Linked DNA regions of Arabidopsis thaliana. The protein of the gene in region 1 interacts with the protein of each later gene in a pairwise test. Each region holds a gene or a part of one and is shown in the gene's direction. Other genes may lie near its edges. The genes, in order: RAPTOR1 and ML1.

The links.
Region 2: the proteins of RAPTOR1 (region 1) and ML1 interact in a two-hybrid assay, tested with the Arabidopsis thaliana proteins (one study listed by BioGRID).

Annotation. Positions count from the first base shown.
Region 1 is NC_003074.8:2,690,972-2,697,915, reverse strand, and holds the start of RAPTOR1 (Regulatory-associated protein of TOR 1), read left to right. Parts: upstream 1-2,515; 5' UTR 2,516-3,004; coding exon 3,005-3,313; intron 3,314-3,677; coding exon 3,678-3,780; intron 3,781-3,891; coding exon 3,892-3,974; intron 3,975-4,053; coding exon 4,054-4,212; intron 4,213-4,303; coding exon 4,304-4,420; intron 4,421-4,531; coding exon 4,532-4,689; intron 4,690-5,253; coding exon 5,254-5,408; intron 5,409-5,505; coding exon 5,506-5,650; intron 5,651-5,735; coding exon 5,736-5,814; intron 5,815-5,899; coding exon 5,900-6,001; intron 6,002-6,202; coding exon 6,203-6,286; intron 6,287-6,389; coding exon 6,390-6,500; intron 6,501-6,844; coding exon 6,845-6,944. Other genes in the region: PYD4 (PYRIMIDINE 4), read left to right, coding at 1-61, 155-334, 404-629, 712-825, 933-1,019, 1,119-1,162. UniProt on the Arabidopsis thaliana protein: Probable component of the plant TOR kinase pathway that recruits substrates for TOR. Modulates plant cell growth and regulates the activity of ATPK1 kinase in response to osmotic stress.
Region 2 is NC_003076.8:24,877,477-24,887,309, reverse strand, and holds ML1 (MEI2-like protein 1), read left to right. Parts: upstream 1-2,457; 5' UTR 2,458-3,157; exon of another isoform or gene 3,158-3,736; 5' UTR 3,737-3,756; coding exon of another isoform or gene 3,757-3,759; 5' UTR 3,760-3,826; coding exon 3,827-3,904; intron 3,905-4,039; coding exon 4,040-4,274; intron 4,275-4,442; coding exon 4,443-4,843; intron 4,844-4,958; coding exon 4,959-5,117; intron 5,118-5,202; coding exon 5,203-5,319; intron 5,320-5,390; coding exon 5,391-5,536; intron 5,537-5,688; coding exon 5,689-5,771; intron 5,772-5,865; coding exon 5,866-6,258; intron 6,259-6,681; coding exon 6,682-7,330; intron 7,331-7,477; coding exon 7,478-7,562; intron 7,563-7,672; coding exon 7,673-7,741; intron 7,742-7,827; coding exon 7,828-8,007; intron 8,008-8,156; coding exon 8,157-8,309; 3' UTR 8,310-8,803; downstream 8,804-9,833. Other genes in the region: AT5G61950 (Ubiquitin carboxyl-terminal hydrolase-related protein), read right to left, coding at 9,217-9,312, 9,403-9,495, 9,588-9,721, 9,822-9,833. UniProt on the Arabidopsis thaliana protein: Probable RNA-binding transcriptional activator that plays a role in meiosis and vegetative growth. May be a downstream effector of TOR signaling pathway and recruited by RAPTOR1 for TOR substrate.

The DNA of each region.
Region 1 (6,944 bases):
CGATCTTATCCAATTCGGAACGTCCGGTCAAGTCGCCGGTTTCATTGGCGAATCAATCCAGGCGAGATTAATTTGTACTTATTTCTTATATCAAAAAGGTATTTATGATTATGATAATGAATATGCATGTAATGTAGTCTATATCCTGTAACAGGGTGTTGGAGGAATCGTAGAGCTTGCTCCCGGATACTTACCGGCGGCTTACGACATCGTGAGGAAAGCCGGAGGAGTTTGCATCGCCGATGAAGTCCAATCCGGTTTTGCTCGTACCGGAACCCATTTCTGGGGGTTTCAATCCCATGGTGTTATCCCTGACATCGTCACCATGGCCAAGGTTCATCATTATCATGATTCATGCATCGTTATCAATTTATCATCATCAATTCTAATTTGGATTTTGCAGGGGATCGGTAACGGTATACCACTTGGAGCGGTTGTGACGACACCGGAGATTGCCGGCGTTTTAAGCCGTCGGAGTTACTTTAATACTTTCGGCGGAAATCCAATGTGCACGGCCGCAGGACACGCAGTACTTAGAGTCCTTCACGAAGAGAAGCTCCAAGAGAATGCTAACCTCGTTGGCTCACATCTTAAACGTAGACTTACGCTACTCAAAAACAAATACGAACGTGAGTTACTTCTTGTCCAAATTAAAATCAATTTTAAAATTTTTCTTTATTGAATATCTTATCCTTTCTCTAATTTGTTTAGTCATTGGAGACGTGAGAGGGAGAGGATTGATGCTAGGAGTTGAGTTTGTCAAAGACCGCGACTTAAAAACTCCTGCAAAAGCAGAGACCCTTCATTTAATGGATCAAATGAAAGGTTAGTTGTGTTCAATCCTAAACCAAGTGAAATTGATCACTCTCATCATATAAAGTTGATACTTATGCATTTAAGATAGTGTTTAATACAAATCTTTTGGTATCAAGAAATGGGAGTGTTGGTGGGGAAAGGTGGATTCTATGGGAATGTCTTCAGAATCACTCCTCCTCTCTGCTTCACCCTCTCCGACGCTGGTTAGCTCCTTAGTTTAACATATATATCTTCAAATTGGTTTCTTTTTGTTTCATTTTTTTATTCATGATTTATGTTGTTTCAAATCTTGTATTTTGTAGATTTCCTCGTGGATGTGATGGATCACGCCATGTCCAAGATGTGATTTACTATCTTTATCCGTTCTCTAATGATCACTCACCCTTGTATGTGTATATAAATAACACAATACATCATAAAGTAGAATTACAATTGGTGTTTACCGAAATATATCACAGATGCAAGTATATGTAACTAAATGTACAGTACTGTATACACTTGATAGAATCTACAAATAAATAAAAAACTCGCTGCTAATGATATTCCACAAATACATATATTGATCCGAAGTTTCGAGTTTAGAGTAAAACTTGAATGATACACCTGTGGGGCAAAACAGTTGGTCATCAAAGACGAGGAAGTGGTAGAAATGGCGGCGCCGCGGCGGAGTAGGAAAACGATGTCCGGAGAGCTGTCCTGATCGCGGAAACGAGACTCGTCAGCACGAATATAAGTTCTTCAAGTATGCATAGTGTCTTTCTTATCATCGAATCTTCTTGTTTTCTCGATGCGAGATTCCCAAGTGAGAGAGAGGGAGTTGTGATATTTTTCTGCTGACTTTTAGATATATATGGCCTTTGATAATGTTATTCAGACAAACAAAGTGTCAGCTTGATGTTTGTGTCCAAAATTGATAATATAATGGAATAATTGCAAAACGGAACCTGAAGTTTTGATTAACATGGAATTTGAACCCAATATTTTTTCCCTACACCAAATTTTTAGTTTTTCGGTTTTCATTTTTTTACCAACTACAATAAACCCTAGATGAATTCGGTTTAGAAGACCAGACATTGCTATGTAAGAGTAGAAAAACCGTTGGTGTTTAGATTACACTAATTTAAACGTTATAACACAAAACTGATTAAAACATAAATATACTTATGAAGCGTGTGCAATGATGATCCCTTCATGTACCCCGTTGTACGGAATCCTAGAGGTGATTCGAAGAATTTATGGTAACTCACGTAACAAAGTGTCAGCTAAGTAATTTATGGTTACGAAAATACAATTGTCTCGTTTAAAAAAAAATTAATATAGTTTTAAAAAATCTAATATCGTTTTTAAATTTAATATCATTTCTCTGTTACTAGTTTAGTAGCTTGAATTTTTGTTTTCGTAATTAAACTAGACTGATTTTTTAAATTTAGATTTAGACCGTGATTAGAATAAAAGTGAGTTTTAAGTTGCATTTTAATCAAAGAATCAGATTGAATTTGCGATTAACTTCTCAGTTAATTAGTCGATCCATTGATGGTGTTCTTTGAATTTGTTTCTCAATGATGCATACAAAATTTCAATTTCCACATTTTAAACATAAATTAATTTTAAAATTATAGATATTTAGTATACCTCTCAATCTTATAATATTAGTATTTAATAACATTGCATTAAAGTTAGTAATTAATTAGAGTGGATTTTTGATCTGAAGAGGGTAAAACTAAAAACGGAAAGGAGAAAAAGAATGAAAGAGAAGTGGAAAGAAAACGCAAATGCATTGAAGACTTTCCCTTTGTCTCTCTCTTTGACAAAATCCCAATTTTCGCATCCTCACTTTCTCCTCTGCCTTTTTTTTTTCTCTTCTGCCGCCACCACCACCACCACTGTTAATTCGCCGCCGCTTCCACATCAATCGCCGTCGTAGCCAATCATCATCGTTCTTCATCCTCCGCTTCTCCTGATTCTTAGGGTTTCCGCTTCCGCTTCTCTGTCGAGGGTTTTTCGAGCTGGATTCTCTGCTCCTGCGCCGCTGGTGCAGCGGCTTTGTTGATTGATCTGGATTTCTCCGTCTTCCTTTCTATTTTATTTTCTGTATCTCGCACAATCCAAACAAAAAAGCTAGGGCTGAGGATTTGATTTGCGTGATTTCTGGGGGTGTGTTAATTCGGGGGTGTGTTCTCCGATTTGGATGGCATTAGGAGACTTAATGGTGTCTCGGTTCTCGCAATCTTCTGTTTCTTTGGTCTCCAATCACCGTTACGACGAAGACTGTGTCTCTAGTCACGATGACGGTGATTCCCGGAGGAAGGATTCTGAGGCTAAGAGCAGTAGTAGCTACGGGAATGGTACAACGGAGGGAGCCGCCACCGCCACCAGCATGGCTTACTTGCCTCAGACTATTGTGCTCTGCGAGCTTAGACACGACGCATCCGAGGCTTCTGCTCCCTTGGGGACTTCTGAGATCGTATTGGTCCCCAAATGGCGGCTTAAAGAACGAGTAAGTTTTCAATCGAACATTGTTGGTAGCTGCAAGTATGTTAGACTAGCTTGTTTAGTGCAACTGACGATGTAAGAGGCGGGTAGAACAACTACATTTTCTAGAATTCATTATAAAATCTGCTATTGTTCGCTACTATGTTAGGTAATGTTAACCGAGGAGGGTTGTGTACTTGTGTTAACGTTTTTATTGTGGAGCTGAACCTTAAAGATACATGTTTCCGTTTCGTTTCAATCTCAATGTCTCTTCAGAAATAATTCTATTTCTCGTCGGAAGCTAAATCAGGTGTTCATTGGATCTGATAGCTAGGGGAGTTCTTGCAAGTCTCATATTCTTTGTTAACTTTTCTTCTTCTTCTTTGCAGATGAAAACAGGATGTGTAGCTTTAGTTCTGTGTTTAAACATTACTGTTGATCCGCCGGATGTTATAAAGATATCTCCTTGTGCTAGAATCGAGGCATGGATAGGTTGAAACTTTGGCCTACTCAATCCTATTACACTCTTTCTTTTCTGTGTTTATCCCTTTTTTTTGTCGCCACAGTCAATTTTATCTCTATTTTTTTTCTTTCTGATGGCAGATCCATTTTCTATGGCACCGCCTAAAGCTCTCGAGACAATTGGAAAAAATTTGAGCACTCAGTATGAGAGATGGCAACCCAGGGTGACAATTTTTTTCCCTGCACCCTATCATTATTGTTTTGTTAAGTTACGCTTTTCTTATTTATTTTATGATTTCTCAGGCCCGCTATAAGGTTCAGCTTGATCCGACAGTAGATGAGGTGAGGAAGCTGTGCTTGACTTGTCGGAAATATGCAAAGACCGAGAGAGTTCTATTCCATTATAATGGGCATGGTGTGCCAAAACCTACAGCTAATGGTGAAATTTGGGTATTTAACAAGGTCTGTTTTTTACTAGCGTTTTCTTTTCTCTACCATGTTCTTGTTCCTTCTCGTCTGTTACCACGAGCTGATTGATTCTCTGTTTGAGCAGAGTTATACACAGTACATTCCCTTGCCAATCAGTGAACTTGATTCCTGGTTGAAGACACCCTCCATCTATGTTTTCGACTGCTCTGCTGCTAGGATGATTCTGAATGCCTTTGCTGAGGTAAAGGAAACAACCACTTCACTTATAGAACACATCTCCTGTCGAGTTTAGGACTCGAGTCTGTAATTTTCGTTCCATAAGTTGATAAAATTCATATACTCTTTACGCCAGCTTCATGATTGGGGTTCTTCTGGTTCCTCTGGATCCTCAAGGGACTGCATTCTACTTGCTGCTTGTGATGTACATGAGACACTTCCTCAGAGCGTTGAGTTTCCAGCTGATGTTTTTACGTCTTGCCTGACAACGCCCATTAAAATGGCGTTGAAATGGTAAATCATCATTCCATCTCTGACTTTTTTTGCGTACTCAGATGTCATGTTTTCTTCCTACAAAATGTAGTTTAAGTTCCGTCTAGCTAAGTTTATAAAATCTTAGCTAGTATGTTCTCGCTTCATCATGAGGTAAGATCAAAACTTTTCGGCAGCATTTTGGATGGGACCAAAGATGGATCATAGAGTTTTGTTTAGAAGACCTTGTGCGTATGTTTTAGTTTTGTGGGGTGGTAAAACAGCATATCATAAGAGTTGTGAGATAACCAGGACTGATAATACCTTTAGCTGCCAAGTCACTTTGCATATGGAAGTTTGCTGATGTATGGTTTGCAATAATTCTTTCTGTCCTGGCTAAGTATTTTTGATGATACCAAAAGATTCACGATATCATCCTGATTGATAGCCTTCTCCTTCTGTGATATTTATTCTATAACTAATTGCTACTGAGTCTGTGCGGTTTCAATTCTGGGCTTCTTTTTAACCTTTTTCCAGTAAACAGATCACCATTTTATGTAGTTCAGTTTAGCTTGCAGCTTTTTCACAAGAGGATTTCCATTGCAGGTTCTGCAGGCGTTCGCTTCTGAAAGAAATTATCGATGAATCACTTATCGACAGGATTCCAGGCCGGCAAAACGATCGTAAGACATTGTTAGGGGAGTTGAACTGGATTTTCACAGCAGTGACGGATACAATTGCTTGGAATGTGCTTCCTCATGGTACTTCTCCAAACTTTCTGCATAATTTATCAAGGGTAAATCTTCTTCAAGTTGACTTCTTTTCTGTGTCCTCATGAATGATAGTTTTACCCTGCAGAACTTTTCCAGAGATTATTCAGACAGGACTTGTTGGTCGCTAGCCTTTTCCGGAATTTCTTACTTGCTGAGAGAATAATGCGGTCCGCAAACTGTAATCCAATATCTCACCCTATGCTGCCTCCTACGCATCAACATCATATGTGGTATTCAACAAGAACCATATTCTTCTGTTATGTAAAATGTTATGTGTCTAGATTTTGACTCAGCTATCCGTTGCATGCTTTTCAGGGATGCATGGGACATGGCTGCTGAAATCTGTCTTTCTCAGCTTCCCCAACTTGTTCTGGACCCAAGCACAGAGTTCCAGGTTTGTTTTGTTTTGTATAGTTTCCTGCAATTGTATACGACGGCGCTTGTTTTGCTTATAAAACGTGTTCCTATCCTTTTTCTAGCCAAGTCCGTTTTTTACTGAGCAACTGACAGCTTTTGAGGTGTGGCTTGATCATGGATCTGAGCATAAGAAGCCACCGGAGCAGTTACCTATTGTTCTTCAGGTGCCTAGATTTCTGTACTTATTTTCCCTTTTGCTGAGAGAGAGAGGGAGAGAGAGATTCATATTCATTTGCCATTTTCTCACTCTGGGTTTTGTGTGGATATGGCTTAGGAACATTCTTTGGCTTCCTTCAGGACGTTCTATCATAATTTTGTTTGCATATTGCCATTTTAGCGTATTTATAGAATCTGGTTTGTTTCAGGTGTTACTTAGCCAGTGCCATCGGTTTCGTGCTCTTGTACTTCTTGGAAGATTTCTTGATATGGGTTCATGGGCTGTGGATCTGGTATACTTCTTTAAATTTTAATTTCTCTCTCCCTTTGGCTTACACAGAGTTTCTCCTTTTTATCATGTATATGTCTTTACACGTGAAGTGAACATTCTTCTAGGCCTTGTCTGTTGGAATATTCCCATATGTGCTGAAGCTTCTGCAAACAACAACGAATGAGCTAAGACAGATCCTGGTTTTCATATGGACAAAAATTCTTGCACTTGACAAGGTAAATATCTGATGTTCCATGAGCTATTTTTTGGGAGGAAGATGGTGGTTTGCCATGCCTCTTTTTGTTATTCTACAAATTGTGCTAGTTCTTTCTGTGGTTTTCTGTGCACCTGTTGTTTATTGAGTGTGGACCTTGATGGAAAAACAATTTGTGTTTTGTTCTGACATGAATTCTGAATGAACATATATTTACCACCTAATATTTCTCTACATTTTTTTATATCATATCCTTGGACATCGGATCAAGTTGCTTACCTATGGCCGTCACACTTTCAAGATGCATAAGTTTTCTCGTTTCATTCTTGGATTATTCCAACATTGACTGGTCTCTTTTGTTTTCAGTCATGTCAAATTGATCTTGTGAAGGATGGGGGGCATACATACTTCATACGATTTCTAGATAGCTCGGGTGCATTTCCAGAACAACGAGCTATGGCTGCTT
Region 2 (9,833 bases), on another chromosome or scaffold:
TGAATCCAACGGCTCGTGGGAGAAAAGGTGCACAGAGATTTTAGATGGAGGAGTAAGTAGGTGATCACAGCCCATCCTGGGATTTGCTGGTCAGCTTTTGATGTGTAAACTAATGGTAAGTTGACACGTGGATTACGTTGAGAAGAGCATCTTTTAAGAATAAATGCTTTTCTAATCCTTCACGCAGCGCCCAGCATTTAAAATAGCGGACAGTGACCCTCTCTCTCACGCCACTCTCACGCTCGGCTTATTTTTTGTCAGCTCAGCTTGGCTTGGCCGACTAATACTAGAATAGAAATTTTCTCTAATCCTGTTCTTGAGATTTTCTAACTCTAACTATTTTAAGAAACATTATTGGACCACTTTTATTTTATTTTGTTAATTTCCATTATTTTTCGTTTTTGGATTGGCCTTAAGCCCCTAATAAGTTTGGATTTACGTTCTAACTAATTGTCTAGTTGTATTATTTAGTAAGCAAGCATAATCGAACTAAAAGAAGCAATTTTTTGTTATTTGAAATCTTTTGAATGGAGTCCACACAATCTTTTAAACGGAAATTAAAGTTACAGTAAAGTAATCCTTTTAAAACAAATATCAAATTATAAATACAATGTTTCAACCCTTTTCAAAAAGGACTATATATGATCTACTACTAGATCACCACTTCTTGATATTTGCCAAAAGAAATTTAAGCTAGAAATATGAATGTTGTGACTAGTTGGATTGATCTAATTGTTTTTAAGTAAATTTTCGTTTTACAATATAAATATTTGAATTCAGTTTCGATCTTGTTTGAGAATTCTCGTTAAATTTTGCCATACTTAGCCCTATGAGCTTAACCGAACATTCTAAATTGGTGGGTTACCGAGCATTTTAATCGGATTAAACCGACTTGAACTGGTATGATGAAAACCTTCATTGAAGGAATTGGACACGTTGCTTACGAGGGGGAAACCAAAACGTTACTCCAGTTAAATAATGGCAGAAGTATTTTTTGATTGAATGTGATCATTATTTAAATGATACTACTATAAAATGTGTAAAAGAAACTTGTAATGAAGCCAAACAAGGCCAAACAGAATCATTACGAAGTGGAAGTATAAAATGACGTAAGGTCTGACCAACCGGTTTCTATATATCTCAGATTTTCAAAAATGGTTTTTGTTTCATCCAATACTAAAGGCAGTGTACTTAAATTCAATGGAATAAAAGATTGCATTGTCCGACGGAGATCCCAACACAAAACACTTGATGAATCTTTAAGCTAAACAAGTAAACATTTATATACTCTATAGAGTAGAATACATAAATAGTAAGTAACATTTAATATGGATCACATAAACTAATTCAAAGATAAGAAGCTGCAGTTTTTGTAAAATACATTCACAGACGAGATATCGTACACGACACTCACCTTCAGCCACATTTCACGGCCGATTGGCTAGCTACGTGAATGCATTTCCATTCTATTCCTTTTTTTTTTTTTCTTCCTATTTTTGCATGTTAACTTGAGACAAAAAGATGAATACATGCATTAATGTTGGATAACTATTTTTTTTATAGTCCAATACCAGTCTCCGATATTTATACCATCTTTTAAAAACGTTTTATTTTAGATCATCTTTTGATATTTCCATTAAGTAGTTCGAACCTAGTCATGCTAAATCTGATAATATGGAGAGATTTAACCATCAAACAAATCAACTTCACTTGAAGTCTTCAATAGATGCTAGCTGATTATTATTAGTATTTAGTAGTTTATTTTTGTTATGGCGCCATTCATTAGATTGTACTACAAACTTGTAAGAATATAAAAGTGAGACTTGACTTGAGAGGTAGGGAAAACAACAAAACAAGAATGATAAAGACAGTGAATATAGAAGTAAAAGCAATGATTCAATCTCGTCAATAATAAAAAAAAACTAATGAATGAAAATAGCGTTTATAAGATATAATCTTGAATCAACCAACCAAACATTATCTACAAAGATTATTCAATGACCAGATGAAGATTTATTTCTCGGTAACTTATTTAGCAACATAAGTATCTTTTTTTTTTTTGGAACAAACATAAGATCTATTTATATCTCAAACAAATGTGACCATATATAATTGTTATAATAAGATTTCTTTTTGGGTTTAAAAAATAAAATCACATTTTCAAATTTTATTTTTGCAAAGAGTAAAGAAACCTTAAAACAACTAGTACCAAACATCTTTCTTAAACTCTAACTAATATAGGATTAATGTTCTTTTTGCATTTAAAATCATGTACGAGACTAAAACATAAGCAAAAATGTGTCAACTAAAAATGTCAACTATATCAATAACATTAAAACAACCTTTTAATACTATTTTCTTCCATAATACTAAGATTTGAAATTCTAACTTTAATTTGTGCAAGTAAAGTTTTGTAGATAAAGCAAATGAATCACATGTTTAAAAAGAAAACCAAATGGTCCATTGTTTTCATAGCCGGCTACTTTGGTTATTAGCCGGGACTCGACGACTTGCCGTCGAGACTCTCGTGTGAGTCCGTAATTATTTATTCTTCAACTAAAATCAATAAACTATTGAGTTATAATCATAATCGAATGGTCCAGATTCAAGCTCATACCATACCACTAAATCCATGGTACATACAACGTAGCAGAGTCCTTCTCTCCTTCCTTCCCTCTTTTGTTTTTTCCTCTCCCTCTCATTTTTTTTGTTCTCTAAACCAACTAACCGCAAAAACCAAAAAAACCCCCCAAAAAAATAAAAATCTCTCTCTCCTCTCCGTTTCTCTCTCTGTCGGAGGGAGTGCCGGAATCGCGCGTCGACGGGAAGAATATCGCCGGAAAAGCTCAAAAATCATCGCCGGTCGCACGAATTATTCGTTGGAAACAACGCGTCGTGAGAGGAGGGGAAATTCGAAAAGAGAAAGAAAAAAAATTGAAAACGCCGATTCACTTTTTTTATATATATAATATAAAAAATTTCTTTTACGGAATTAAATATTCTGTGATGGATGCGATTGGATAGAAGGAAACAAAAAGGAAAGGAGGAAGATAAAAGAGAGAAGAAGGAATTATTCTCTTCTCTCTTCTCTTTCATCTCTGTCTACATCGCTGTTTTTTTTTTTCTTCAAGGATCGTGATACCTGAAGAAGAAGAAGGTAAAAAATAAGAGTTAACGAGATCCACTGTTTGTTGAAAATCTGGTTTGAATTTGTTTAAGAGGAAGCATAATTGTGTTTGTTTGTGATTAGGTAAGTTTTCTTATTTTTTTGGTAGCTGGTGGTGATTAGGGTTTTTATTTTTATGGTTTAATAATTTGGAAATGGTTTAATTCCGTGCCGAATTTGTGAATTAGGTAAGAGTTGGTTCGCTGTTTGATTATAATGAGCTGCACAAGGATCCGGTATTAGGCGAATTCTACTCTTATTGCTTCTGGATGTACCTAATCGTCTCTTCTAGATATTTCTATGAGCTTAAAATGCAGCGATTTGATATGTTTTGCCTCTCTAGTGGTTGAAGTTGCTAACTTTGTTTTATCCTTGGACTTCGCGTAATTCTAGTAGAAATCTTCTGTTTCTCTACTTTTGTAGTTCTTTTGCTTGATTTTTTTGGCTTGTACGTGAGTAATTGAGCACTTTTATGTGTCGTTTTTGCAAGATCTTCCTCGCAATTGAGAAATGCATTTTGTTTATGTAGACACTGGTTTTGACTTGACCACTTTTTTTTTTTTTTTTCAGGTTTTTTCAGGGGAAGTGATATGGTTCGTTGAAATAAGTTTAAAGTTTTAAAAGATTTTGATTCTGGTTTTATTAGTCAAATTTTGTAAGATGCCGTCTGATATAATGGAACAGAGAGGTGTTTCAACACCTTCCCACTTTCATGAAGATATTCATATTACTTCAGAGGTAAACTCTTTGTTTTCATTTGTTTCAGGATTTAAACTGTGTAGCTCTAGAATTGCTGGTATCATATTTCTCACGTATGACATTATATCTGCCACTAGTTTTTCTCAACTATACTTGTGCTTTTTTGTTCGGCAGAGGCAATTTGGGTTTATGAAAACAGACATGATGCCTGAAAACCAAGGTGGTCGTGATAGACTTTCAAGTATGCCAAAGAGTTCCTGGACATCTGAAAGTTACCAGCTGAAGCCACAATCTAGTTTTTCTGGGTCGCACCCCTCTGGTAGCCCTAACGCAAGAAACACTACAAATGGTAGTCAGTGGGAAAGCAGTTTATTTTCCAGCTCAATGTCTGATTTATTTAGTAGAAAGCGTAAGCTTCTGGTTCACCTTTATGGTTTTTTTAATTATTGTGTTAGATTTTTTATTCAGCTTCCTAAAATCTACAATCCTCTATGGTAAAAAAACATTGTTACTTGTGTGCTCTGACTTACTGTACTTTAACTACTTGAGCGTGTCTCCAACTTGCTGTTTTTTGCAGTGCGGCTACAGGGAAGTGATATGCTATCCACTATGTCTGCAAACACAGTTGTTACCCACCGTGAAGAAGAACCGTCTGAATCTTTGGAAGAGATTGAGGCACAAACTATTGGAAATCTTCTCCCAGATGAAGATGATCTTTTTGCAGAAGTGACAGGTGAGGTTGGGCGTAAATCTCGTGCTAATACAGGAGATGAGTTGGATGAGTTTGACCTCTTCAGCAGTGTTGGTGGCATGGAACTAGATGGAGATATTTTTTCTTCTGTGAGTCATAGAAATGGTGAGAGAGGTGGCAATAATTCTGTTGGCGAGCTTAACCGTGGGGAAATTCCATCCAGAACACTTTTGGTCGGAAATATCAGTAGCAATGTTGAAGACTATGAGCTGAAGGTCCTTTTTGAGGTACCTTCTTTCAGCAGCAATTTTGGTTCGCATGGATTCTTTACTTAGGAAATGTAAGGTATGTAGAAATTTTGGGATTACTTACTTCGTACTGAGGATACATTTGCTTGTTCAGCAATTTGGAGACATCCAGGCTCTTCATACAGCTTGCAAAAATCGTGGCTTTATCATGGTATCGTACTGTGATATAAGGGCTGCTCAGAATGCGGCGAGAGCACTCCAGAATAAGCTGTTAAGAGGAACAAAACTTGACATTCGTTATTCTATCTCTAAGGTATTCACTGTTCTGAAAGAAGATTTTGTCGTTTGCTATATGGATTGCATTTGTGACTTGTGCTTACAATTTTTCTTGCTATCAGGAAAATCCTTCACAAAAAGATACAAGTAAAGGAGCCTTGTTGGTTAATAATCTCGATTCTTCTATTTCGAATCAAGAGCTGAATCGACTGGTCAAATCGTATGGAGAGGTCAAAGAGGTTGGTATACTGGGGTTCTCCCTGTATTTGAGTTCTGAGATTGATACTTATTCGGTTTCTGTGGTTTGTAGATTCGTAGGACCATGCATGATAACTCACAGATATACATAGAGTTCTTTGACGTTCGAGCTGCAGCAGCTGCTCTTGGTGGACTAAATGGACTTGAGGTTGCTGGGAAGAAGCTTCAACTTGTGCCGACCTATCCAGAGGGTACAAGGTGGTGATTGGGCATTTTCACCTGCTTTATATTCCATTGTGGGCTGTGAAATTGATGCAAATGCTAATCAAACTGATTTGAACATGTGATTTGTTATCAAGTCTTTACATGGACGTCAACTGTATTAATGTATGATTCATTATCTTTTTCAGATACACGTCGCAGTGTGCTGCAAATGATACTGAAGGGTGTCTACCTAAAACGTCTTATAGTAATACATCATCGGGACACATAGGTATGCCTTTACATCTATGGTTTATAGTTCTTTTTTCTTCAATCATCAATCATCTGGGGACACAAATCATTGCAGTTAAATATCTCTGTTTCAGGTAGACATTTCCCAGGAATGATTTCTTCAACCTCCAGTGATGGTGGATCTATGCGGGTTATACATAATTCTATTGGATCACCTGTGAATTCCTTCATTGAACGACATCGTAGTCTCAGCATTCCTATTGGATTCCCACCTTCGGCAAACGGCATCTCAGCAAGTAAGCCTGTAGGACTTCAGGAGCATGGCCACCATTTTGATAATTCAAATATGGGGATCCAAAGCATGCCAAATCTCCATCCTCATTCTTTTTCGGAGTACGTCGACAACTTTGCAAATGGTAGTCCATATACGTCCTCTGCATTTTCTGAAATGGTCAGTGATGGCTCAAAAGCAAATGAAGGCTTTATGATACATAATGTTCGTGGAGTGGAAGGCTTTAGTGGAGGCGGTAAGTTCTCTATCGCTAATGTGCTACTGTCTTGATAAGCTCTGCTGTAGTACATTATCAGAGCACAATCTTTAAGTTACGACATTGAAATGGTCCTTACAATTTTAGTAGACTGTGAAATGCTACAGCAATGCACAGTAGGTACTGTTGTCTGGATAGACAACTTGTTTACAACTGTTTTTTTTTATTTTTGTCATCCTGGGAAAGACAGTATTAGCATTATGTTCTTAATGGCCAGTTATCTAAACAGATTAGGCAGTGTTGTACTGGGGTTTGAATATGAGAAGGGGTTGAACCTAATTGTGTATATTATCATTGCTAAAAAAATTTTGATATGGAAGATTGTAATGAAGTTTTTCTTTCAACTGCCATACGAAATATTCTCTTTCCTTACTTTTAGCTGTTGTTATCTTTTGACTGTAGGTATAGGATCTCCCATGCATCAAAGCTCTCGCCGCCCTATTAATTTATGGAGCAACTCTAACACTCAGCAACAAAATCCGTCAAGTGGCATGATGTGGCCTAACTCGCCATCTCACATCAACAGCATTCCTACTCAGCGCCCACCTGTTACTGTATTCTCTAGAGCACCTCCTATAATGGTGAATATGGCATCTTCCCCTGTGCACCACCACATTGGATCTGCGCCGGTATTAAATTCTCCTTTCTGGGACAGAAGACAAGCCTATGTAGCTGAATCTCTAGAATCATCTGGCTTCCACATAGGTTCTCATGGTAGCATGGGGATTCCTGGCTCTTCACCATCACATCCAATGGACATTGGTTCTCATAAGACTTTCTCTGTTGGTGGGAATCGCATGGATGTAAATTCCCAAAATGCTGTCCTGCGATCTCCTCAACAGTTATCTCATCTCTTTCCTGGAAGGAGTCCAATGGGTTCGATGCCAGGGTCATTTGACTCGCCAAATGAACGATACAGGAATCTCTCTCACCGAAGAAGCGAATCTAGCTCTAGCAATGCTGACAAAAAACTGTATGAGCTTGACGTTGACCGTATATTACGTGGGGAGGACAGGAGGACAACATTGATGATTAAAAACATTCCTAACAAGTACGTGAACTCAGTGTCTCTCTTTTATTTTTCTTGTCTATATCTTCTGCAACTATTTATAGTTTGTGTCTTTAGTTAAAGATGTATTCTGTTTTCATCTTTGACTCTCTTTTTTTTTTTTTTTTTTTTAATTCTGCTATGGTTTAGGTACACTTCGAAGATGCTTCTATCTGCTATTGACGAGCATTGTAAAGGAACTTATGATTTCCTTTATTTGCCAATTGACTTCAAGGCAAGCAGGCGTCCTACCTTTTTTATATAAGAAAGTCTTATTAAGCAGACACGTAGAGGTTTTGGTATTTTGCAATAACGATCTAATCTAATCTTACCCTGTCATTTCAGAACAAATGCAATGTGGGATATGCTTTCATCAATCTTATTGAACCTGAAAAGATTGTCCCATTTTTTAAGGTACAGTCTCATATTGCTGCTTTTTCTTATGGCTTTTGTCCTTTTGGGAGAGCATTGGCTAAAAGCTCTTAAAAAAACATTCACAGGCATTTAATGGCAAAAAGTGGGAAAAGTTCAATAGCGAGAAGGTGGCAACGCTTACGTATGCTCGTATCCAAGGGAAAACAGCTCTTATTGCCCATTTCCAGAACTCAAGCTTAATGAACGAAGACAAACGTTGCCGACCTATTCTCTTCCACACTGATGGTCCAAATGCTGGTGATCAGGTAAAGATTAAAGCTTCATACAATTCCGTCTTGTTTGGTTCCCATTATCCATATGCACTTCCTTCACTTCAAGTGTGATTTCATTATATCATAAGATTAGTGAGTAAAAGAAGATTCATATGATTTCCTTTGTTGTTATATCACCACAGGAACCATTTCCAATGGGAAGCAACATACGGTCAAGACCAGGCAAGCCACGAAGCAGTAGCATTGACAACTACAACAGCTTTAGCATCTCTTCCGTTTCTGAAAACCGAGAAGAAACTCCTAATGGAACTGATCCGTTCTTGAAGGAGAACTAACCAATGAGCAAAACAAGCAGAGGTAAAACAAAGAACACATAAAAAGAGACACGAAGATAACAAGAAGGTTAAATATATATAAAGTTATTATTATATGATATCATCCACACACCCTAGAGTTCTGTAAATCGGGGGGTGTTAGATTTACCCTGACAAAACTCATTTTGCAGTGAAGAAATTTTTTGGAGAGATGAAAAACTTTGTTGACCACAAACCTTTTACCCAGGTTGTTGTTGCTTCACCAGTTTTGTTGTATTATCAAAATCCCCTGAAAAATATTGCAGGTTTTTTTTTTGTTCCTCTTTTTTTTTGGGTTTTGGGGTTATATTCAAGGATTTTTGGTTCTTGCTATCAATGTATAACAGCCTTGGATTACACTCATCTTCTTTGCTGGCTATTTGTGGCCATTCTACGTTGTACTCTTTTGGACCCTTTTTTGAATGCTTCTATTTTGGGATATATAAAAATATTATTTTTCCTAATTTTTGTTCTGTGGCGAGTTCTATCTGAAGCAGATGAATTTTACGAAGGGCACTGACTAATATCATTCCGTGGGTTTCATTGAGTATATTTTGCATAAGGACATAGTATATGGTTTCCTATGATATATCTACTGGACAGAGTTTGGTATTATTATATGATACGACATGAAGAAACCTATAACTAATTCTGAAGTTTCTTAAACAAATATTTATTCAAAGCTCTGTTATAATGTTTGGTGCTGTAAGAGTAAGGTCATACGATACAAGAGCCAAAAATAATCTGAAGTTTCTTATCAAGATTCAACAACAACAACAAGAAAAAGGATTCTGTGTAGATAACAAATGTAATTTCAAAGGGAACCCTCCCTGAGAGAACAGAACACGATTCTGGATTTCTCCATATTTTGATACAATACTGTCACTTCCTAGGCCATCAATCGGACAGATTCATATATCAGAATCTCTGGCCGAACCTTCCTCTCTCCACAGAATCTGACCACATTCTTCCAGTCACCAACATCCTATGCCATCACAACACATATAAATCATGTCTGGCCTATCTAGATTTACTATTCAACTCATTGAAGGAAAAAACAACTGTTTCGACTTACCTCTCCTGCAAAACACTCACGTCTGAGATTGACCCACCGATTCTTTTCATAAGCTAGGCATACGTGTTCTTCTTCTCCTTCACCACAACCAACCTGCATCACATCCCAGATATTCTGACACTGTAACTAAGAAAAACGGAAGAACTATAGCACAAACAAATATGACCATGTTTCAGATGTTTTACCATTGACACAAGCCGGTAGTTAGTGTTTGTTTCTAAGCCTTCTTCGTACAGCCTGCTGATATCTATCTCCCAGTCCAAAGCCTTTGTTGTTTCAGATATTTCTTTCTCAGTTTCACTCTTCTCCCATTCCAACACTGACATTGCAAACCAACAAAACGCCAACATTGCTTTATGATTAAGCATAATATATGAAATTGAGTACAAAAGATCACAATCAAGGGGGTCAAAGCTTACCAATGGTAAAGA